Caenorhabditis elegans: one gene and its partners. Changing the gene in region 3 together with the main gene of any one other region gives a genetic interaction. Each region holds a gene or a part of one and is shown on either strand. Other genes may lie near its edges.

Region 1 (9,727 bases), on a different chromosome or scaffold from region 3:
TTAAACTTTGATTCATTGCTCCAGGACCGACACTGTACGAATAACTTAGGCTTAGATTTTGTTCAAGAATAATTTGAATGTATTCAATAAAATAAGCGTGTTTTCAATCATCACTGTGAACTACAAAAAACGGTGAATGAAAAGGAAAACTCATGAATACGGCCTGCTCTGCTTGGAATAGGATTAAAGCCAGCCCAGTTTTCAAGAGTATTCGGGCCTGCGGCCCTCAAACCTGGTTATTAGGCTTGAGTGAATAACATATCTGCTTAGAATAGGATCAAAGCCAGCCCATAGTTTAAAGAGTATTCGGGCCTGCGGCCCTCAAACCTGGTTATTAGGCTTGATTGAATAACATATCTGCTTAGAATAGGATCAAAGCCAGCCCATAGTTTCCAAGAGTGTTCGGGCCTGCGGCCCTCGAACCTGGTTGTTAGGTTTGAGTAAATAACAACCGCGTCGCAGGCCTACAGCCTGCTCTGCTTAGAATAGGATTAAAGCCAGCCCACAGTTTTCAAGAGTATTCGGGCCTGCGGCCCTCAAACCTGGTTATTAGGCTTGAGTGAATAACATATCTACTTTTAGGAAAATCGTGAACGCCTGTGGGCCCCGCAGCCCCTCGGGAATGGGGATTGTTTTAGAAAACTGAAAATAATAAAAGCTTTCTAAATCAAACTTATCTAAGAGTAATCGCATATCAGGCCTCCGGCCTGCCTTGGTATAATGATTTAAGGTTGACTGCGTCTTCTAAGAGTAAGAGTGCCTGCGGCACTCAATCCAGCCAATCTGGGCTTGAAACAGTTGTAATCGCACAGCAGGCCTCCGGCCTGCAATGCCTGAAGTATATGTTCAAAGTGAACTTCTTCTTAGAGTTGGTGAGGAGTTATGCACTAAGACTTCAATCCGTCATAACTTTGCTCATAGTGGAAATTTGAAAAAAATAAAATAATATTTGAAATTGGCGTAAAAAGTGGAATAATACGGCGGTTATTATTTTAAAAAATAACAAAAATTGAAACATATCACCTTCTGGGAAGGCCTGGAAGCTCGAAACTTCCACAAATGTGCTGAAAGTTGTCAAGACCGACCAAATTTAGTTTTTCTACCTTGCTTCAATGAAAATTATCAAAATTAAAACATAAAATCGAAAGGATAGTTGAAAACTTGTCCAGGAACAGAGGAAAACTGGATTTCCATGTGCAAAAATTAAATACCCTATCTCCGCGAAAAGTGATCGGATCGAGCTGTGATTTGAGATTTCATTTTAAATCATTCTATAAATTCTAAATTTAACGTAAAAACCGGAACGATAGTGGAAAGTTTGTGAATTTTATGGAAAAATGTAAATTGTTTGAAAGAAGTGAGCAAGACTAACGGAGATTTGACCGAAACAATGGTGAAAACACACCAAATATGAAAAGGGGAGGTGGGTGTGTGTGTGTGAGAAAAGGGGGGAGGTGCAGAAATTTTGGCAAAACTTTAATTATCGTTTTTAAAATAAAGAATAGAGATATCACAATGAACTTAGATACAGTGGATAGGTATTGAAAAGGAGAACTTAAGTTTCGAGTCTCAAACGTTTTGAACATAAACTCGAATTTTCCTTCAATTTAAAGTGGTTTTCGACCAGTACTTCGGTGTGCGCAAAAACAAGAGGGGTGTGGTTTTCCGCTTGTGGAGCCGACAGGATGCTCCCAAATCAACCCCCTTTTAGATGAACACACGTCGCTATATTTTGTGAATGTAGAGAAAAAAGAATTTCAAAAATCGGTTCCGTGAGAGCCGAGATATAAACGTTCAAAATTGTATTACATTTTTTCGGACATTTTTTGAACATTTTTTGAACACCGAAAACGCGTGTATGAGGCAAGATGGGGGTTTTAGGAAAGAGGCAGAAGCCTGAAATCTGCGATTTTTGGGATTTTTTAAAACATATTTAGATAAAAATTAAGCTCAGCCCATTTCGTGGCTTTCTGTTTTTCAAATTTTTGGGAATTTGTTTTCTACGAAATCTAATTTTTTAAAATTAGTTTTTTGTTGATTTTTTTCTAGTTTTTTAAACAAAAATTAACGAAAAAAAATTTTTTTTTTGAAATTTCAATGCAAAACGTGGGCGGGACTCAATAGGCCACGGCCATAAAATGGTCAGCCATTTTGTGGGCGTGGTCTACCAAGCCCCGCCCATTTTTTCGAACATTTCACTTTTTCGGAAAAATTGTTTTTTTTTGTTTTTCTCTTCAAAAATTTAAAAATTTTCCCGATTTTTCGACAATTTTTTAAAATACATATATATATATATATATATATATATATATATGAATGTGTATTGTTGATAATTTGATAAGAACAATAAATGAATAAATAAAAAATATAGGAGGAAATGAATAAAATACATAACAAAAATCGAGAGATTCTGTGTGAAAATTGGTGAAAAGAGGATATTGGAAGAGGGAAATTCGAAAAAAAACACAATTTTTTTTTCGAAAAATGGCCAGAAATGGGCGGAGCTTAACTTTTTCGGTTTTATTTTTTTTTAAATTTAAAAAAAGCGAAAAAGCTAAGAAGCCACGCCCACAAAATAGACAATCGCGGATTTTTTTTTTGAATTTTTTCAGAATAATTTTGAGATCAAAATAAAGCCTCGTCCATTTTGTGGGCGTGGCCTAACCATTTTTTTTTCAATTTTTTGGGGAATTTTTTTCTGCGAAATTTAATTTTTTTTCGAAATATAATGAGATATTTTGCGTTTAAAAAAATACATAAAGCCCCGCCCATTTTGTGGGCGTGGTCTGTTAGGCTCCGCCCATTTTACGGGTAAAAAGGTGGTGTTTTTCAGAGGCGGAAAATTAAAAAATAGGGTAAAAAAGTAATAAATTAAAGATTTTTGTTGGTGAATTTAAATTTCCCGGGCGACCATTTATTCTTCCATTTTTTCTTCCGGCTTTTCCTTATTTTCAGTAGTAGTAGTAGTGGTAGTAGTTTCAATTGCTCCATCATCTGTACTTGGCTCTGTGCCAGCAGCTGGTGTTTCTGTGCTCTCCGCCGGCTTCTCCTTGACATTTTGCTCTTTTTCTTGCTCCGGCGTCTTCGGTGTCTCCTCCATTACCAAATTTCTTAACAGTGGCGCTGAATTCGCTGAAAAAATTGGAAAAAATAAATGATTAGCACACAGCACAATGATGATTGATCACTTTTTGATAAGAATGCTGCGTGTCCCCGCAGGGGTTTTTTATTGAAAATTTTGAAAATTTGGTTAAAAATTCCAATAAAAACCCCCGGCGGGGACACATTTTTTACACAAAAATTCGCAGAAAATGTGCCCCCGTAGGGGTTTTTTGCCGAAATTTATGACATTTTTGGGCTAAAAATTTAAAAAAAAACGGTTCAGAGGCTGAAAATGTGTCCCCGCAGGGGGTTTTATTGGAATTTTGTACCGAAATTGTTAAAATTTCAATAAAACCCCCTGCGGGGACATATTTTCTGCCATTGAACCGTTTTTTTTTTAATTTTTAGCACAAAAATTGCTGGAAAATGTGTCCCCACAGGGGGTTTTTATAGAAATTTTCGACAACTTTGGTCTAAAAATGAAAAAAAAAGCCTCAATGGTTGAAAATGAGTCCCTGCAGGGGTTTTTTATTGGGATTTTTAACCAAAATTGTCAAAATTCTAATAAAAACCCCTGTGGGGACACATTTTCTGGCATTGGACTGTTTTTAGCGCAAAAATGGCAGAAAATGTGTCCCTGCAGGTGTTTTTATTGGAACTTTCTACAAATTTTGGGCTAAAAATTAAAAAAAAACGGTTCAGAGGCTGAAAATGTGTCCCCACAGGGGTATTTAATAGAATTTTTAACCACAACAGCCAAAAACTTCAATAAAAACCCCTGTGGGGACACATTCCCAACCATCGAAGCGGTTTTTTTTTTCAATTTTAGCCTAAAAATTGTCCCCACAGGGGTTTTTATTGGAATTTTTGACAATTTTGGCCTAAAAATTCGAAAAAAAACAACGTTTTTTTCACATTTTCACCGGAAATTTGCGATATTTGAGCTAACATTCTTCAAAAATCTCAATAAAATCGAATTTTTCAGCGTGTTTTTTGCAGATATTCACAATTTTGAGTTGATGTTTCAATAAATTTCAAATTTTCAATTAAAAACCCTGTGCAAGGGGGACACATTTTCTGCCAATGAAGGTTTTTTTTCACTTTTAGCCTAACAATTGTCCCCACAGGGGTTTTTATTGGAATTTTTGACAATTTTGGTCTAAAAAATTAGAAAAAAAAAACTGTTTTTTTTTTCAGATTTTCACTGGAAATTTGCCATTTTTTAAGATAAAATTCTTCCAAAATCTCTCAATAAAATCGAATTTTCAGCGTGTTTTTTCTCTATATATTCACCATTTTGAGTTGCTGTAGTTTCCTGTTTCTTCTTATATTCTTCATAAGCTGTCGCAAGCTTCTCCTCCCATTCTTTAACAGTTTCCTCAAACTTTTCCTCATCTACAACTGGTTTTTCACTAACAGCTTTCTTCAATTGCTCTTGGAAGTCGTCACTGCCCTTTTCGATGGCTCTTTTTCGATTGTCATGGGCTCTTTCCAGTCTGAAAGATGGATAATTTGGGAAAAAAATCGATTTTTAAAGATAATTTTTAGATAATTTTTTGAAATTTATTTGAATTTTTAACTCGAAATTTCAGATTTTAAAGCTTAAAAAATGTAATCTTTTAGAAATTTTAGATTTTTAAGCTTAAAAAAATTATTTTTTTTAGAAATTTCAAATTTTTAGACTAAAAAATTGAATTTTTAAGAAATTTCAGATTTTAGGCTCAAAAATTCGTATTTTTCAGAAATTTCAGATTTTAGGCCTAAAAATTCGATTTTTAGATTTAGATAATTTTTTTGAATTTTTTAACTCGAAATTTCAGATTTTAAGCTTAAAAAATCCAATTTTTTAAAAGAAATTTCAGATTTTTAGACTAAAAAATGTTTTTTTTAGGAATTTCAGATTTTAGGAAAAAAATTTGATTTTTTTGAAGAAATTTTAGATTTTTAGGCTTAAAAATTCGAATTTTTGAAGAATTTTCGGATTTTTAAGCTTAAAAATTCAATTTTTCTTGCTATTAGAATTTTCAGAATTTTCGGCTAAAAAATTCAAGTTTTCGCTTTTTTTTTTGAAAAAAATAAATTATTTCGATTTTTACGATAAAAAATCGATTATTTAATCCAAAAAATAACATTTTTTCGGTTTTTACTCCAAAATATCTCCGAAAACTGAAAAATTACACATTTTGCACATGTAAAATTTGATTTTTTGCTGAAAATTTCAATTTTAAGATCAAAAACTGCTCAAATTCCGTGAAAAATTGGGCAAAAAATCGATTTTTACAGCATTTTCATAGTGAAATTGTATCAATTTTTACTTTGTGAGCTCTTCTTCAAGTTTGCTCTGATGAGTACCAAGAGATGTCGCCTGTCGCTTCAACATCTCCATTCGGTGGTGTGGAACTACCTGAAAATTGGGAAAAATTGAAAATTCTGGAGAAAAATAGAGAAATTTGAGCTTTTTGAGCAAAAAAATGCAGTTTTTTGTGATTTTTTCTTGAAAATTCATAGTTTTAAGCGATTTTTCTTTGAAAATCCTAGTTTTCCGAGATTTTTGCTCAAAAAATCCAGTTTTTTCACGATCTTCTATCGAAAAAATCAGATTTTTTAAAACGATTATTGCCTGAAAAATTCAAATTCCCTTCGAAAAATCCACTTTTTAACGATTTTCATTGAAAAAATTCAGTTTTTTAACGAATTTCACGACTCAAATGCTCAATTAAATGGATTTCTCTCGCTTTTTCCAGCTTTGTCAGTATTTTCAAGTTAAAATGAGCAATTTTTGCTCAAAAATTAAATTTTTTGTGACTTTCGCGTAAAAAATCCACTTTTCAAACGGTTTTTGTCTGAAAAATTTAATTTTCATTCGAAAAATCAAAATTTTCCGAATTTTCGTAGCTCAAATTCTCGTTTTAATGGATTTTTCTCGCTTCTTCCCAGCTTTTTCAGTGTTTTCAAGTCAAAATTAGCATTTTGTGTGCAAAAAATCCAATTCTCTGAGATTTTTGCTAAAAATAAGCAATTTTTAACGATTTTCGTTTAAAAATTCAGTTTTTACGATTTTGTTGCTGAAATGCTCGCTTTAATGGATTTTTCCCAGCTTTTTCAGTATTTTCAAGTCAAAATGAGCATTTTTTGTGCAAAAACCCAATTTTTCAGGATTTCCAGAATCCCTTACAGTTCTTGTATCAGTAACGATGCTCGGCGAGAACAAATCACTAATCAATCGATTATTTCGTTCAAATCTGACACCCGCAAGACGTCGGGTGCTCAATTCATTGCCACCGTCATCCTCGTCAACCGGTTGAATTACAACTCCGCCAGCGTCCATTCGGCTTCTCGACATTTTTTCGTTGTTCTTCGCGCGTCCCTGGAAGAAAATGTATTTAAAAATGTATTTTTCGGCTGAAAAAAGTCACTTTATTAATCATAAAATTGGAAATTCCGTTTCCTTGGAAATGTTTCATTTGTTTTTCGTAGTCTGCCTGAAAAATAATCATTTTTTACGGGAATTTCTCGTTGATTTTAACTTTTTCAAGCTCATATTCATGTTGATAATGCGATTTTTCACCGTCCGGAAGGTCCAACCAATACTTTCCAATCATTTTTCCAATATCCCAAAGCTGGGCTTCTGGATTCTCGGCGCGAACTTTTGGCCACATCTTCCGACTGTATCGCATGTAGGGTTGAAGTGGTCTTTCTGGTACTTTTGGACCACGCGATGACATATCTTGGAACTGAATTGGTGATTTTTTGAATTTAAAACCAAATTCTTGCGTGAAAACTCACATTTCTCGCCGGTGTGGCTTGCGGATGACGGAAAGATGACATTTTTCAATCTGAAATATTAAATTTTCAAAAACTAAACAGAAATTCGACTGGAAAACCCAGAAGAAACACCAAGAAAATACAAAAAAATCGATTTAATTTGAAAATCCCCTCAATGTCCAGTGGGGCGCGCTTGCTCATTGTAGGTGTGGTTTTGTTTGGCAAGCCTGGCACGTGGTTTTTGCAAGAGTGCCGCACGTGGTTTTTTTTTAATTATTATTTTGGAGAAAAAGCCAAAAAAAAAGGAAAAAAACATCAAAAAACATGAAAATTGCTGAAAAAGCGAAATTTCATTAATTTTCCAGGAATGGCAAGCCAAAAAGGAGCGCCGACGTCAAAAAGCTTGTACTTTTCGCCGATTTTACTGTATTTTTCTGTTCTGGATTTAATAAAAACTCGATTGGAAGCTGAAAATTACAAGAAAATTAGGAAAACTTTCAGAAAACATCGATCAAATGAAAATCCAATGAAAGACTGAGGAAAACTATTAAAATTGGCAGAAAAATTCAAATTTCTGAAAAAGTTTGCATCAACTGAATTTTTTTTGCAAAAAAAAACATTTTTTGTGTATTAAAATTTAAATTTCGCGCCGAAAAAGTGTTGTTTTTTGGCGCGAATATTGAATGGCCTAGTTTTTGCAATTCGGCCACCGCGGCGATGATGGTAGGTGCGCCAAAGAGTACACTAAATTTTTTGTTTTAATTTATTCATCCAATATGATTATTAAATAGTTTTTTTCGAAAAAAAAATAGAGAAAGGAGGGAAAATCGGGGGGGAATACCTAGAAAAAGCCAAAAAAAAAGGGGTCAAAATTAAGAAGATGTCTGTGGAAACCCGTCGCTACAGATCGAGAACTTGTGAACGTTGCACACGAGATTCGATACCTTCGGGGGGATGTGCTTACAACAAAAAGATGAGCCACTGAAAAACAATAGAGCACATTTTCAAACAGTGTGTGTCACAGGTGGGGGAGAAGAAATCTGAGAGAAATGATGACAATTGAGAGAATATTATCACTCTATAGGACATTATCATAATAATTATGAGTAGTTTTCGAGAACTTTTCACAGGAAAAACGAACGAACGAAAAATCAACAAATAAGTTACTACCTAAAAAGAAATTTTGAATTTGAATTAATAAAATATCCTATATATTTAAAAATTGTCACAATTAAAGTTCAAATACCAACAAGTTGAGAGGGTGATGCATTTGATATTTGCCTTATAGCGCCACCGTAATCGCCTGCCTGGTTATGCCTCATAGAGGAAACCAGGAGCCGTACGGGAAGAGCCAACAAAGATAGGCAAATTTTCAATTTTTTCGGGAGCTGCAGCACAAAACAACGTGGACAACGCGACACACACACGTAGGAAAAGTAGTGGGGGTGGGGGGACTTTTTCGAGGCACACACCACTTTTTTTTAGCGACGAGCAGTTACAACAAACTGCTTAAGGAGAGGGGGGGGGGGGGTGGGGGTATGGGAATTTTGCTTTAAAAAATCGAAAATCTCGCAAAATTTGGTTTTTTGGGATTTTGTTTTGAAATTTAAAATCGCTTTTAATTTTGGTCATTTTTTTGGGGGGAAAAAAAAAAGAATTTTTCCAATAATTTCACAAAATTGGAACTTTTTCCAAATTTCGAAAAATCTGGATTTTTTTTTCAAAAATTGTAAAAGGAATTTTCCAAAAATTTGAAAAAAATTGGAATTTTTTCAGAATAATTGATTTTTTTTCAAAAAAATCGAAAAATAGTTTCCAAAAATTTCAACAAAAAAAATGATTTTTTTTGAAATTTGTTTAAAAAAATGGAATATTTTTCCAAATTTCAAAAAATTGGGTTTTTTTTTTGGAAAAAAATCGAAAAATCAGTTTTTTTTTCCAAAAATTCCAAAAAAAAAATCTAAATTCTCGCAAAAATTCGGTTTTTTTTTTTGGAAATTGTGTTCAAAAATTGATTAAATTGGAATTTTTCGTTTTCAGCAACAAAATTTTGGCGAAAATTGAAAAATTGAGTTTTTTGGGACTTTTTAAAGCAAAAACAATGGGGAAGAAATATACTAAATTGGGTGTAAACATTAAGATTTTTGGAAAGAAAAAAATGGGGGAAAAATGAAAAAAAAAAGAATAATTTTTGGAGAAAAAGGAAAAACGATTAAAAATGAGTGGGCGAGAGACATGGGCGAGTCATTTAACTCCACCAATCCTGTTGAGGCTGAGCACGTTGCTGTTGTTGCTGTTGGCGACCTCCACCACCGCCTGACTGGAATCCACCGCCTCCACCGGAACGTTGTCCACCGCCTCCGAAGCCACCGCCGCCTCCGTTGCCGCCTCCGCCGTTTCCACTTCCACCTTGATAACGGTGATCGCGACCTGGAATTTGATGGTTAAAATTTTTTTTTTGGAAAATTTTTTGGATTTTTTAAAATTTTCGATTTTTGCCACTTATTTAGGAAAAATCAATAAAAATTCGGAAAATTTTGTGCCTGGGTCTCGCCACGACAAATTTTTGTTAAACGCCAAAAAGATATGCGCCTTTAAAGAGTACTGTGTTTTCAAATGTTCGTTTTTTCAGTTTTAAGAAACATCGATAAAAAATTCGGGTCGAACGAAAGTTTGAAACTACCGTACTCTTTAAAGGCGCAAGCCTTCTTGTATGTAATAAAAATTTGTCGTGTCGAGACCCTGGGTACAGTAATTTCACATGCGCCTTTAATGTCGAAAGTTTGTAAAATTACGGTACCCAGGGTCTCGACACGACAAATTTTTGCTCCATCCAAAACGGTGTGCGCCTTTAAAGAGT
Region 2 (7,585 bases), on a different chromosome or scaffold from region 3:
AATCTTTTTCGGTTTGCTCATTCTCTTTGGCAATGGGCAGCGGCCCAAACATATCTTTGAGCGTCGATACTCGTTTAATTTCTTCGATTTTTCTTTCCAACTCAAGTGCTTTTCTGGTACGTTCTTCTTGTAGTTTTCTTTCATTTTCTTTCTCAATTTCTGCTTTCAATTTTTCAGCTTCTCGGAGTTGTTCCAAACGTTTCCGTTCTTCCTCTTCTTCTCGCTTCAAACGCTCCTGTTCACGTTCTCGTTCAGCTTTACGCAATCTTTCCAACCGCATTTTTTCCTCCTCTTCTTCCCTCACTCTTCGAGAAATAAGAATAGTCTCCATTTCGATCCTCTCTTCTTCTTGTTGCTGTCGAATTCTTTCGGCTTCACGTACCTTCTCGAGGCGTAAACCTTCTTCTAACATTCTGTCCACTTTTTCCTGCAATGCAACACGTTCCTCACGTCGTCGTATCATACCTCTTCTATCTTCCTCTTCAAAACGCTTCCTTTTTCTTACTTCATCTTCACGCCGCAACCGCTGAATTGTTTCGGGGTCAACTTGTTTTTGAGTCGTCCTTTTTTCAAGCCTTCTGGTGCTAGCCATCATTCTTCTCTGTTCGGCATATTTATCGGCAAGTTTTCTTCTTGATTCTCTTCGTTTTTCTTCTCGTCTGGCCAATGCTGCCTGACTTCTTTTGTCCATAGGAACTGTTTTCAACGTCTTGGCCAGTTGTCTTTCCCTATTTCTCTCGTATTCCTCTAAACTTTCATTTAATTTACTCTGGCGAATGCTTTGTGAAATTTCAAAATGAAGTTCCTTATCAAGAGGATCCAAATCCATGTAGTCGTTGTACATTTTATCAACATTATTCTGCACATCTTTCCTTGCTGATTCCAAACAGAGTCGTCCCGACATTTTCTGATGTGAAAGCATCTCGATCGCCAAGTACGCTGGGCTAGGAAGAATACCGTTATCACTAGGCTCAAGGTTCTCCAGTAGTTCTCGGCGAGCAATATTAGCGTCATATACAGCTTGTGCAATGTCATTGGCGGTCCGTATGCTTGCACTCTGAAAGAATACTTATTCAGTTGATATGTATTAACAACGTTTTGCCTATGACGTATTTGACTTTTAGATTTTAATTTACTAATTAAAACAAAATTCCTTACCTTTCTTATCACGCATTTAAAGAAAACAAAAGTATCTTACCTCAAAACCTGTAGCACGGGTGATAACATCTTTCACAACACCAAATACTTCGGTAATCAGTTGTTTGTCCCCTGGCCCATAGACTTGTGGAATATTGTAGGTTCGGAATCTGTGAGGGAAGCGAATTGCATCTGCAAAATTATTAGTTATTGATTATTTCAAACAAGTCAATCTCACTTTTGGTTCGCGCAATTTCCTTAGTTCCACACGGCAATATTTTATCATAGCATCTGTACATTTCTGTAAACGCGCAGCCGTTTGCTTGTAACATTGTGTATCGAACGGAATGTTTATGGTATATTCTATTCATCTTTCTTTTCCTCTTTTTGAGTGGCGGTAGAGAGCGATCAATCATTTTTTGTTGATGGAACCATGAAACATCAAGGAACATTTTTTCACGGTACTGGTAGTCAATGAAAACTGAATCAGATGACGTTGATCGCATTAACTTTGACGGCTTCTGGAATACGTTTTCACTGTCACTTAAATATCCTTCAAATTCGGAGTCGACGCTGAAAAAATTTCATAAGGCAATTTTTGAGCAATGGATAAACATACTCGGAAGGTACACCCTCAATTTCGAAATTGTTTTGTTGCATTGCTGCATCATATCTTGTCTTCGATTTTCTTCCAGGCTTTTTCTTTGCAGGCTCGTTGACAATTTGTTTTTTCGCACGTGGAACAACGTAACTTGGATCGTACAGTTTAATGCGGTAATTAAGTAAATCTTTCCGTGTAAAGAACTTCATTCCGTCATTTTGGTTTGTTTTTACCAGGGGCCTTGCAATAATTTTTTCTGGTTTTTTTGAATCACCAATTATTCTGGTTATTCTAGAAGAACATTCTGATAGCTCATGCCTGACATCTTCTTGTTCCATTTCAGCCACTCCATCAGCATTGCAACCAATGGAAATTTGATAGTTGTTTGGTATTTTGTCAAATTCAAATGTGTACACATCTCCCGATGACGTCAGAACTCCCGATTCCATGTAATCCGAATTGAAAACTCTTAGACGCTCAGAATCGATTTCTTCTGTGACGACTTTTGCTCCACCGGTAATAATTAGAAAAGCTGATAGATAGTCTTTATTACTGGTTGCTCGACCGTGCTGAAAGAAAATAATAAGGTACAGTTTGACGTTTGTGGCTTACATCGTAAAAGGTCCGTAATCCAAACTTTACAGCAAAAGATTTTGCATCCATGTTTGACTGCTCGATCTGAAATGGAACACACTTTTTATAATAAAAATTGCAATTTGTAACTTTTAAAACTTACAAGATAAACAATTTCTTTTAGAGTGATTGGTTGGAGCATTGATTTGTTCTTTGAAAGAAAATCGAAAACCGGGCGATTGCATCGAAGTATCTCAGAAAGATGTAGATTATAAACAATGGTCTTGTCAAATGCGACTCTTAGTCTACTTTCCCACCTGCAAAATTTCAAATTTAAACGTACAAAACTTTGATTCAAAAAACTTACTGTTCGTATTCCGTGTAAAGTGGGAAACATATTAAATTAAACATATCGACCAAATAACGTTTTCTCGGACAGCATATTCCACTTTCATCATATTCAGGAAACTTATTCTCCCAGACTACAAAGAATCCATGAATATGACGGCCAATACGATGAAATTTGTGAAGCTCTTTAGCCGATATTGTTCCAACTTGAAATTCAACGGGAGGGGCGATGCTGCGGCTGAAAATAAATTTTATAAATATATTTCTGATGATATTTCTGATTGTTTTTAGATGAAAACAATATTTATAAAACTTTGAGCAAGCGATAGCGCTTTAGAGTTTTTAAAACTTGTCGCAAACTCAGTTTTCATCACTTTCCGACTCGAAATAAATAAATTTCCAAAATTTTTTAGAAGGTTTTATGATATTTGGATTTTTAACTACCATAGAAAAGGTGTTCATAATTTCTCAACTGAGCGTACTTCATCTTTAAACGGTTTCAGAATAGAAACAAAATTAAAGAGAAAGAAGCCACGCGTTGCCATAGAAAATGTAAAAAAAATTGCAGCTTAAAGCTACATTTGTGTGTGTTTCAGTTATTTATCAGTCTCAATTCAAATGTTCGAATAATTTTGTTCTCGTCTTGTTCAAATAAAAACTATATTTTTAGAAGCTCAACTTACTAGGTTATATTATGATATTCGTCTTGAGCTTCTTCAAAACGCATCATCAAGTAGTGCTCTTGCTGTTGAACTGTAACGGCATCTTGTGGAAAATATCCACATTCCAAAGTTGGAGGGACGAAGAGTTCAGGAAGATCCGATGAACGGTTCATACGAAGCGAAATTGAATGCTTCTGCATGAGGAACTCTCTGACAAAATAAGATGAGTCGGGGATAACATCATTGTTTTGCCGTTTCTGTAATAAGAATTGAGATGTTCAGATAAATAATTGACTACTTACCGAGTTTAAACGAATACGCAGTTGAACATTAATTTTTTCAAGTTCTGAAGATTGGTTCTTGGGAAATAGTGAATGGTGTTTGTAGAGAACTGGATCATCAGAAATTGATAATACTGGGGTTTTTGGCATTGCAACATAACCGTTCACTGCTCTCTCGTAATGACTCTTAGAAGCTTTCCACCACCCGGTTTGATATTTTAGGCGTTTTTGCTTGCCGGAATGTTTCTTCAATGCATTTTCAAACTGCAACATTTTCACAGATCCATCGTATTCAACCGCAGTTGCTACAATTTGTTCACGAAACTGGTCGCACTTTGGGGAAACAAGTTTGCCAGCTTGGAGATACTGTTCGATCGTTTTTGATAAAGTAGATTCTTTCACTCTTCCAAACTCAGTTTCTTCACCTTCCAAATGATACTGCGGAATTGTGTGTGACATAATGTTACGTGTCACTCGAGTCCGTTTCTGTTCAACTACTTTACCATCATCAGTTACAGCTGGCTTCATGCGATAATTGACAGGTCTTGGGTGATCGTGAACAACTTCTGCTACCAGTTTTGATGTTTTTGCGGTGGATCCACTCTCTATACTCAGATGTTTTGGCAGTTTTCTTCGAGGTTTCTTTACAGCTGGCTTTACAGGTAGAGGAGGAAGTTCAATTATATCGTCTTCTTCTTCAAAACACTCTTCTTCTTCATGACGGTATGCGTTGCGCAAGTGTTCTTCTAATTCCTGTTCGTTTCCATTTTCTTCTATTGTTATATTCAAAAATTCCTGTTCATCCATCTCGAAATCTCCGAGTTCACTAGTACCTCTACTTGATCCAATGAAATGAGTATCTGAAGTAATTCTGATTGCTCCGTCTGGTATCTCATCCTCGTCAATAATGACATCAGAGTCGTTTGATGAAATGTTGCGTTTAACTCTTCCAGGTAAGAAAAACGTGTTTTGCTCGGGAAGTTTCCCAATTTCTGATTGACTATAGTCGCCTGTAGTACTTGCACGTAGATGAACTATGTCATGGATGATAACAACGTCTGGATCAGCTTCATCTGGAGAATCGGACTCGTTGAATGACTCCATTTCACTTTGATTTCCTAGTTCTGATTCATCACTCATAAGTACCGGAAGAGAAAATCACGATTCTGAAAAATAATATATTAGTGAAAATAACGAAAGGTTCTTGAAAAAATTTTTAGACAACGGGCTGTCGCAGAAAAATAAAATTAAAATTAAATGTGTTATGGTAAGCTTTTTGAATTTTTTCAACAAAAAAAAAGTTTTGAAAGAATTAATTTTGAAAATAGTGAAGAGATTGAAAAAAAATTTTTTTGAAAATAATGAAGAGATTGAAGCCTAAAATAACAGAATCTAGAAAAGTAGTCAAAAACAAAAATTGATACTTATTGGTAATTTAGAATTCAAATGCCTTAACCTTTGTGAACTATTCCCTACTTTGTCTTGGTTTCACCAGTCCTGTTTTCTCTAAGTCTCCATTTTCTGTTTAATATGTTGCGAACTGGATGGAGAGAGCCATGGTGGAGAGCGCAAAGAAACGATAGATAGGAATGAGTGGGAAAAAAGGAGAAGACCCAAGAGACATCGACTGAACCTGTGTGGAAAACGAGAGAGTAGAGAGAACAAGGATACACAACTGTGACAGGGGCATGGAGACTCAATAAGAAAGCGGAGGCTGCGTTTAAAGTTATATGGATAAAATAAATTTAAAATATGTTTAGGATAAATAATTTAACTAAAGTTTTTCTAGCTTTGTATAAACGTCAATGTCACGCGCAATTCTGATAAGAAACTCTGCGTAAAGTTTAACCTTGTACAAATGTCGTATACTTTCGATTCGAAAGTAAAAGTGTGAAGCTAGAGGAAAAAAGGAAAATATCACACATATGTTGAAAGAAGTTTCATACAAACATTCAGCAAAAACTCCTACGCAAAATAACATCAATATTAATAAAAATGAAACTAAAGTAAGGTACAGAATAAACAAGTGATTTAGGTATAATTATCGAAAGGGCTCAGGCATCTAATCCGATAAGAGGAAAAGTCAAATTAATAAGTATATGTACAATAACTGCAGATTGTCTTCATCTTCGAATGTGCCAAATTCTATAATGCCGTGAACAGCGCGTCGTTACCGCAGCTCTGACCTCTGCCGTTTTGCGTTGCGCTATGCAGTGATGACCAACGGTCATCTAAACAGCCGGCTGGACAATCGATGATTTTTACGTCATACAAAACGGGGTTGAGTCGCGTAGAAACTGTGCATGAGTCGATATTTAGAAAAATTTATGAACAATTATGTTGACGGGAGAAATGGAAGATGCATACTATCAATGGGAATACATAATGGGTATGTGTAACAAATAATTTTGAACAATTTTAACTGATCCATCGAATATATGTTATATTTTTTAATAATAGGTTGTTCAAAGACCATGTTCCAACAGCAGGAATTTTTTAAAATCAAACTATAAGTAAAACAGTTTAAGTAGTGCATTTTAATAATAATATAACTTTCATGCAATACTATTTTTATGGGTCGTTTTGAGTGCAGGGCTATCAGTGATACAAAACTAATAGATCTTACAAGTAGAGATGCGCCAGAGACATTATGTGAACAACACATTATTATAACCGAAATGCCTTAAATTTTTGAAAATTGTGAAAGCTGCCTTCTAAACCATTTCAAAAGAAAAACATCCATATTGAAAATGCTTCAATTTGTAATAGTTTTTTTTGCCTTTCGAGGTTTCCGTTAAAAATTGCCAATAATGTGTAAATGCTACACTAGGAGCACTAGGAGCTCCATTTTTTCGAAAGTTATAAAATTTTTGTGCCATGCTAAAAAAAATTACAAAATCGTGAAAACTTTTTTCCAATATCCAAATTAGTAACAATTTCAGCTTGTTCTACTTTTTTTGTGATATTCAAATATTTCAGAACTATCAGGAAATGATTTAAACCCTTTTCCTACGGTTGGCGTTTTACTTACAAATACCAAATACACATTGCCATTTCCAGACACTTTTTTGATAAAGACGACCATCTTAAGAGTTGAAAGACCTGTTTTTGGTTTCATAGATGATTTTAATTAATTATTTAAAAACACTTTTGGCTTAAAACATTATTTTTTCAAGAGAGACGGAGAAAGATAAATTTCCATGGCAACATTGTCAGCGCACGAAGATTATACAACCAAGCATAGAGATTGACGAAAGATTTGTTTCCTCTATTTTTATTCACAGTTGAACAAAAATTGTGCATGTTGCTGTAGAAATGGACAGATTATGGAACTATTAGATGAAACGCAGACTGTAGAAAAATAAAAATGGCCCGAAAATAAAAATCAGTAAATATGTTTAACTGTATCTGAAACAAAAAATAAATGATATGTTGAAAAATTTGCCATTAATGTTTTATTAAACCAATTTCAGCCGTATTCTATTATGGCACGAAAAACTAATTTCCCGAGTGTTCACAGGATTGCAAGGAAAAGTTCGATGCCGACCAACAAAACATTAATTTTCGTTATAACTCAAATTCGGTAGGATATTCGAAGATTTGAACATTATTTTTCAAACATATCCATTATATCCAATTCTCGAATTTTTTGGGTATGGCATCACAAAGTCATAGTCCGTTTCTGCGTTTTTCACTGTTTGGAATTGTAACTTTAAAAATGTATCATTTTGTGTCTGATTATTTTTTGCAACTCTTAAAAATTCTTACTTACTAGTTTTGCAATGTAATAATGTGTTATACAAATTACAAATGATATCTAAATAATTATATAATTTTAAATGTATAGAAAACTTTTACTTGTCTCAACATGACAATTTTGTTAGTCAAGCTTCAGTTTCCAGTCAAATAAAACATATCACACTAACAGAAACATTTTGGATAAGTTTTTGATTTAAAATTAAATTTTTATCTTTAATTTGTCA
Region 3 (7,694 bases):
CCAATTTATATTTAAACTTGATAACTCACTTGAATTCTAGCTGTATCCGTGGCACTTGTGACATGCTGATATATTTTCCGATTTTTGTTATTATTGAGAGAAATAAATTGAACTCGAATGTACTCAAGTGCACAATCACGTTCTCGAGGACCTAGAAATCATTTATTAATTAGTTTTAAGATGATAATTGGAAAAAAGGAAATAATTGAATCTAACCTTCGTAGTCTGGAAATGCTACTGTAATGTTGGTGTGAGTGATTTTGATTTCGAAAAGATCAATTTTGTTCAAAAATAGAATAATTGCGGTTGAATGAAAATACATCCCATTGCATATTTCATTAAACAAATGAAGTGATTCTTCTATTCGGCTCTATAACAAATAAATATTTTAATTGTCTCAACTTAAAAAAACACACCACAAAAGCATCTTCTCTCAAAACTTGATTATATTCTGATAGTGAAGTAATAAAAAGAATTGCATGGGAATCGTCTAACACATGACCGCTCAGCTAATTGTGCGTTGGGGAAACACAGCCGAGTTCAAACCAGAGCGTCTAGAGAGAGGAGGCGAAGGTCAAGTGCCGAGCGAGGAAGGATAAAGATAAGCGATGTAACGAGTAACACATTGTATGACTATAAGACTCCTTCATTAATAAACAATTAAGACAATCAATTAGCGGCTGTGGATTGTACCATCAAGTCCAGCGGATGATGAGTGAACTGTTCATGTATTGTTGTTGTCAATCGGTCAATCAACTAGGCAATTGGGTCAGAGGCTGTGCTCTGATCCCAATGCCCGTGATTGCCGATGCAATCAATACTTCGGAGAGAAAACAACTAAATATCAATTAATAAAACGGAAAAGGTAAAGGGGACGACCGCTCAGAAGGAGCGGTTGATAATCGAATGAATGAAACTATTTAGGCCAGCCAATTAGGATGAGCAAGCTGCGCCGCGCCGCGGTCGGCGGCGCGTGCGCGTGGCGAGACCCAGCCGGTTGGCGGCAAATTTGAATGGGAAGGCGCTTAGAAAGATGCTAATCGGGAGAGAATTGCGAGAATAAAGGGAGCATAAAGGTTTTAAGCTACGGCGAACACGATGGAAATGTGTTCGTCGCGCTCAAAGAACTTTGTAATTGAGAGATGGTGGCATAGCCCAGCCCATCTCACAACACATGGGTAATTTTTCGACGTTGAGCACGTTGTCCCCCAATGTCGAAAAAAATGAATCTGTAAATAATTGTTTCCTTCCAAAAACCACAACAAACTGAACAAAGTGTTACTTGAAAGTCAAATGTTTTATATTTGCTTCATATTGTGCAATTCCCAAGGTTGGGACTCTGGTTTTCAATATATCTTCTCCGGTTGGCAAGTATTCTTTTCCAATAACTCTTGCAAGGTTTTCAATGAAACTGGAAATAATAATAATTAGACTGAATAAAACCCAACGTTTAACTTGCTGAATTGTTGAGTCTTCAATATTATAAACAGTTTTATTCCTCAACATCATGGCAACTGTTTCATCTTTTATGTACATCTGGATAGACTTTATAATGTCTTTGCACAAAACATTTTCAGTCTCTCCAGTTTTATTGAACTGTTTCGTAAATATTCGGATTTGATTTAGGCATTCCTATAATGGAAATTAGTTTTGAAACATTTACCGTATTTCCTCTATTAGTTTTGCACCCCTTTGCTCAACTTTCACAGCTCATATCTCAGTAGTCGTTTGTTTTATAAAAAAGTTGTCAACTGATAAAATTTTTGCAAGATGTTTTCTAACGTTTGTAGTTTGTTAATTATTTATATGCTTAAAACAAAACGAGATATGAGTTGTCAAAGTTGAGCAAAGGGGTGCAAAACTAATAGAGGAAATACGGTAATTACTTACAATTGAAGATGGATTTTCGTAAATTAATTGTCTCCACATAATTGCCCAGTGTATCTCATCAATACCTTCCAAGATATTTATATAAATTCCATGTTTTAGAGCTCTTTTTTCTTCAACACTGTATCCTCCACAATGAAGAATTCTCAAAATTTCAATATTACAAACTACCGATAATATATTATCTAATTATTTTGAAAATCAGCTGAGTAGGTGATAATTTTTGGAAGCAACTGAAAAAATGTAGTTTTCATTGAATTTACCTTACTTGCTTGACTATTGTACTTTTTCCTGACTCTCCCGGACCTAAATATAATAAAGGTTACATTTTGATTATGTTTTTTTTTTTAATCAGGTACCTATGATAAGAAGCTTTAAAGCCTTCTTCTTACGTTCCTCGAGTATTTGTGTTTCGATTTTCAAGTTTTCATCTATCTTCAAAAATATATTTTCACTCAAAGTTTTACTTAACCTCCACCTGTTTCTTAAGTTGCTCTCTGCCGAGAACATGATTTTTGGCCGATGAAGAAAATGATGCACCCAGCTTTGAAAGGCTGAAAGTTTTGCCTAGTTTTTTTTTACAATAGTGGCTTTGGGTCTGATAAAAACACTAGTGAAAATTACGAATGAAATAATTTGAGACATGCTCAAGATATTGAAAGTTGTTATTTCCAAGTTTATATATAAACTTAAACTATAGTTTGAGTGCAAAGCACATTTTAGAAAATGTAATGTTTCCATGGTAACTTATAAACAAGTAATTAAAACAAGCTTAAAGTTTTTTTTTGAAAATGAAAAGTGAATGAAGCTGAATTAAATCGTCTTAAGAGATTGTTGGGGTGGCAGTTTGATTATTACATCTGAAAATTGTGTAGAATCATTGAAAATAAATGCCGTCCACGCCCAATTTTTCATTGACTCTGAGAAGTGAAGGAAGACATCCCTCCTATGTCAGAAAATGTACAATGGAAGAGGAATGCATCGTACCTAGTCCCCCAAGTAGTGGGGGACAATAAACACTCGGCCACCTCGCTCTATTGCGTGTCTACGTCTCACATCCATTTATACTATTGCACCGAATATTGGGTTAATGTCGGTGTTTGAATATATTTTGGTTACAGTTTAAATGCTTCAAATTTAAATCAATTAAATCATGAATAGTATCAAAATTGATAGTTCAACAAAAGTGAGTTTTTTTTTAAATAAATTTTTATTTTAATTTCAACAAACTTATTTTGTATTTAATTTTTTTTTAGATAGTTATTGAATATATTGACAAACTCCGCAATTGCTCAAATGAAAAACGACAAAAAGTATCATCAGTCATTCGTCCAGTTGACTTTCCCGGTATCTCAACTCAGCAGCTTTGTGGTTTGTTGCAATTCTTTTTTGTAATTGTATTAATATATTTTATTCAGATATTTTGATTCGGTTTGCTTATAATGGAACATATATCGATGATGTTTTCCGGGACCATCTTCTCAAACTTGTCGTAGATAAGGTACTCTGTAGTTCTTTGTTTTATTCCAAAAAATTATAAATTTACAGTCAATCACCTGGAATCAAGTCATCCACAGTGTGATAAATACAAAAACAGATAGAATTTATTCGAAATGTTTGCAATGCGAATTGATCCGGGAAATGGTCAACTATGTACAGTGAGTTGGCATTTTTAATTGAAAAATTTTGCCAAGTTTATTAATTTCAGAATCAAGTCATTTTCTGATAAATTGCATGCAGATGAGCTTATTTCGATTATGAAGCCGACTGTTTTCTTCCTCGCGCAACTGATACAAGTAAGATTTTTAGTATTTTTAACGAGCGATAAATGTTGTTTAAAGTTAAAAGCTTACATGTTGAAGGTTACCAAAATATATGTTCAAAATTGGCAAATGCTCTTTTACTACCTCATCTTTTACTACGTTGCTCTTTTACTACGGTTTACTCTTTTACTACGGCCGTATTTTTTACTACATTTTCCAATTTCGATTTTTTACTACGAAATGTATCTTTTACTACGGCCGTTTTTTTTACTACGGTTTCCGAATTTGATTTTTTACTACGATTCGTATCTTTTACTACGATTAACGATTTTTTACTACCTAATGAAAAAAAGAATATCAAAAGTTGGAATTTGAAAGTTACCTTGTAGCAGATTTTAGGTATAATTACAATTTCACTCTGAAATCAACATGAAAGTTTCATAGCTGTGTTCTTTTTCCAACTTTTGAAATATACTACTGTCTGAGCGGTTTTTAACTGAATCCGACGATATCAGAACGGGAAAATGAAATTTATGAAAATTTTCCAAACAAAACTATTTTGAAACCTTATTAGGCACTGATCAGTTATTGTAGAAAAATTCTCAATCTGTCGTTTTTGAAAACATTCCTGTCAACTTTGTGATTTGGCATAATAATAAGAAACTCGACAAGTAGGGCTCTATATACCCACATATCTTTTCGGACAGAGGGAATGCGAAAAATTAATCAATCGCAAACTTGTTAAGCTTAAGATAAGGAACACTTTTCCCGTGCAAACTATTTGAAAAAAAATCTGAATGGATCCAGATTCGAACCAGCAATGACTCTACTGAAGAGCGCGCGCTTTACCACTTCTCCAAACAGGCGAGTGGCGGCCGCGGTTCCAAGGAATATGTGAAACCAACCGAGCTGTACGAAGTAAGAAGCTTCCATTACTTTTTCAGATATTTAGTTCTGAAAACTTTGTCAACTCTCCTTATCAACAACTAAATGGTCCTTTTTGTAGTTATTTCTACTGGCAAAAAAGAGTGTGCCTGTAAATAATATCCTGCGTATAAACGTTGTTGTCCAGTGAAAACCTTCCCTTGACTTGAAATTTCTAGAAAATTGTACATGCATGTTGATACGAGATACAGAAATGAAACATTTGAAATTAAATTTTGGGCCTAAAATGTTTTTTCTCAAAAACCACTACAGTTCTTATTTTTCCAAGAGTGTATATAAAAAGTTTATTTTTTAAAATAATTTTTCGTATCAAAATCCCATTTTCCGGCTTCAAACGTAACGTTTTCGTCGTTTTCGTTATTGGCAAATCGAATTCGATCGAAATTGAAAAAATTCCGGAGTACGGTACATGTCGGTGTTTGCGTACTTTTGCGTACCGTGCATTTTATTCGACGACACTTCATATTTTTAAAAAGCAAAATTGACAAAAAAGTGCGTTTGAAACCCAAAAACAGGACATTCCATGCGAAAAATAATTTCGAAAAAATTCAGATTGCATTTATTACTGGAAAAAAACAAGATTGGGGCCGTTTTTCAGAAACAAATTTTGGGCCAATTTTTTTTTGAAAATAGCTTATTCGATGAATCACAGAAGTTCCCGAGCTGCTATTAAGTGGAATTTGTAGAATGTTTAAAAATACACTCAAAAAAAGTAGTTTTCAAGATAAATTTCAAGTCAAGCGAAGGTTTTCACTGGACAACAACGTTTATACGCAGGATATTATTTACAGGCACACTCTTTTTTTCCAGTAGAAATAACTACAAAAAGGACCATTTAGTTGTTGATAAGGAGAGTTGACAAAGTTTTCAGAACTAAATATCTGAAAAAGTAATGGAAGCTTCTTACTTCGTACAGCTCGGTTGGTTTCACATATTCCTTGGAACCGCGGCCGCCACTTGCCTGTTTGGAGAAGTGGTAAAGCGCGCGCTCTTCAGTAGAGTCATTGCTGGTTCGAATCTGGATCCATTCAGATTTTTTTTCAAATAGTTTGCACGGGAAAAGTGTTCCTTATCTTAAGCTTAACAAGTTTGCGATTGATTAATTTTTCGCATTCCCTCTGTCCGAAAAGATATGTGGGTATATAGAGCCCTACTTGTCGAGTTTCTTATTATTATGCCAAATCACAAAGTTGACAGGAATGTTTTCAAAAACGACAGATTGAGAATTTTTCTACAATAACTGATTAGTGCCTAATAAGGTTTCAAAATAGTTTTGTTTGGAAAATTTTCATAAATTTCATTTTCCCGTTCTGATATCGTCGGATTCAGTTAAAAACCGCTCAGACAGTAGTATATTTCAAAAGTTGGAAAAAGAACACAGCTATGAAACTTTCATGTTGATTTCAGAGTGAAATTGTAATTATACCTAAAATCTGCTACAAGGTAACTTTCAAATTCCAACTTTTGATATTCTTTTTTTCATTAGGTAGTAAAAAATCGTTAATCGTAGTAAAAGATACGAATCGTAGTAAAAAATCAAATTCGGAAACCGTAGTAAAAAAAACGACCGTAGTAAAAGATACATTTCGTAGTAAAAAATCGAAATTGGAAAATGTAGTAAAAAATACGGCCGTAGTAAAAGAGTAAACCGTAGTAAAAGAGCAACGTAGTAAAAGATGAGGTAGTAAAAGAGCATTTGCCTTCAAAATTTAGGTTTTATTGGGTGTTGCTTTTTCAATTATTTTCTATTAAAAAATTTAATTTAAAATCTCTCTTAACAAGAATACATAAGAGCGAACCAATAAGATCCTAATTCGCAAAAAAAGAAGAAAAAATGATACCAAAATATTTTACCAAAAACTTTTTCTCGTCGCGAGACCCATATGAATAAATTGTTGCAGCTTGAAGTACGAATTTCAAAAAAAAACATAAAAAATCACAATACAATTTTTTAAAAATCTATTTAAATTTTCTTGAAATATACTAATATTTGGAACCAATAGAATTGTTATTCAAAAAAAAACAACTTATCTTTAAATCCATATTCTTTATTTTTATTTTCAGGATGTTCTTTCTGATGAAGATGAGCTGGAGATGATACAAATTGAGTATGGGGACGTTCGTAAAGCTTACTACAAACCTTTGGAAGCTCTCAGCGCATTCATACACGATGATCTTTGTAGCTCACTTCTAGCATTTTCCGAAGCCTCTGAAATCACTCATCAGCTTGAGCTCTGTCGTGATTCATTCTCAAAACTTCGTTCACCTGACAAATCAGCAACTACATTGGTGGAAATGCTTATCGAAAGACATATTGAAAAATGCAAGCCTGTAAAATTCCAATACATCCCTGAAGGAATCGCTTTGTTCGATTTGAAAAATCCTTCCATTCGCATTTTGATCCCCATTTTTGCTTGCTTCAAAAATCACGAAAGCAGTAAACTGATGGCTGAAACTATTCAAACTTTTGCTGAAATAATGCGATTCTATGGTCCAGATGTGATTTTTGATATTCTTCATGGAGCAATTCTATTGAAATGTGAAGAATCAATGGATTTATTACACTTTCCAAAACAACATCGTGCTGACTTTCGATGGCAATCCACAACATTTTTCTACAAAAAATTACCTCAAATTATTGAATATTTGATTCGAAGTGAAAAACTTACCGTAGCTGAAGTTCAATTTGGATTGGAAAAGGCTTTGACTGATTTGTCAATGGTTAGTTTATATTATATGCTTATTGTAAAATTAAATATAACAAATTTACAGATGTTTGACGCTGCTGACGTTGCCTGGCAGAATGCATCATTTCTAACATTATTGAATGAATTAGAACCAGTTCTCGGAAAAACCATTACGGATCCGTTACGTCTACGACGGAGAGAGCACATGAAGACAAATGATCAGCTTCTTCCATTTGCTGATACAGATAATCAGCTTATCGAGAATACTGATATTGATAAATTACTCAATGCAGTTAAAGAAGTGATGAATCTACAATTTGGACAAACTGAAGAATTTAGCAAATTGTTCGTAGATAAAGTGAAAACTGGTCAAACTGACAATTTTGATGCAATAACATCAATTCTTATAACT

What was found. A genetic interaction does not mean that the proteins touch.
Region 1: of lin-25 (region 3) and swsn-3, changing one enhances a phenotype caused by changing the other (phenotypic enhancement), as found in Caenorhabditis elegans (one large-scale study listed by BioGRID).
Region 2: of lin-25 (region 3) and sdc-2, changing one enhances a phenotype caused by changing the other (phenotypic enhancement), as found in Caenorhabditis elegans (one large-scale study listed by BioGRID).

Annotation. Positions count from the first base shown.
Region 1 is NC_003281.10:2,761,736-2,771,462, forward strand, and holds swsn-3 (HMG box domain-containing protein), read right to left. Parts: upstream 6,945-9,727; 5' UTR 6,931-6,944; coding exon 6,889-6,930; intron 6,837-6,888; coding exon 6,630-6,836; intron 6,585-6,629; coding exon 6,519-6,584; intron 6,470-6,518; coding exon 6,278-6,469; intron 5,507-6,277; coding exon 5,418-5,506; intron 4,599-5,417; coding exon 4,396-4,598; intron 3,133-4,395; coding exon 2,915-3,132; 3' UTR 2,275-2,914; downstream 1-2,274. Other genes in the region: ATP-dependent RNA helicase laf-1, read right to left, coding at 9,116-9,297.
Region 2 is NC_003284.9:11,519,896-11,527,480, reverse strand, and holds the start of sdc-2 (Sex determination and dosage compensation protein sdc-2), read right to left. Parts: upstream 4,775-7,585; 5' UTR 4,743-4,774; coding exon 3,624-4,742; intron 3,579-3,623; coding exon 3,343-3,578; intron 2,898-3,342; coding exon 2,679-2,897; intron 2,629-2,678; coding exon 2,475-2,628; exon of another isoform or gene 2,417-2,474; coding exon 2,351-2,416; exon of another isoform or gene 2,308-2,350; coding exon 1,757-2,307; exon of another isoform or gene 1,711-1,756; coding exon 1,376-1,710; exon of another isoform or gene 1,330-1,375; coding exon 1,199-1,329; exon of another isoform or gene 1,058-1,198; coding exon 1-1,057. UniProt on the Caenorhabditis elegans protein: Component of the SDC complex that functions in sex determination and in X chromosome dosage compensation specifically in hermaphrodite (XX) animals.
Region 3 is NC_003283.11:12,646,917-12,654,610, forward strand, and holds the start of lin-25 (Protein lin-25), read left to right. Parts: upstream 1-3,008; 5' UTR 3,009-3,040; coding exon 3,041-3,073; intron 3,074-3,143; coding exon 3,144-3,258; intron 3,259-3,305; coding exon 3,306-3,388; intron 3,389-3,435; coding exon 3,436-3,545; intron 3,546-3,595; coding exon 3,596-3,683; intron 3,684-6,659; coding exon 6,660-7,316; intron 7,317-7,367; coding exon 7,368-7,694. Other genes in the region: gpa-9 (Guanine nucleotide-binding protein alpha-9 subunit), read right to left, coding at 30-151, 217-322. UniProt on the Caenorhabditis elegans protein: Participates in the inductive signaling pathway downstream of let-60 Ras and the RAF/MAP kinase cascade to regulate specification and differentiation of many cell types. Positively regulates the fate of vulval precursor cells.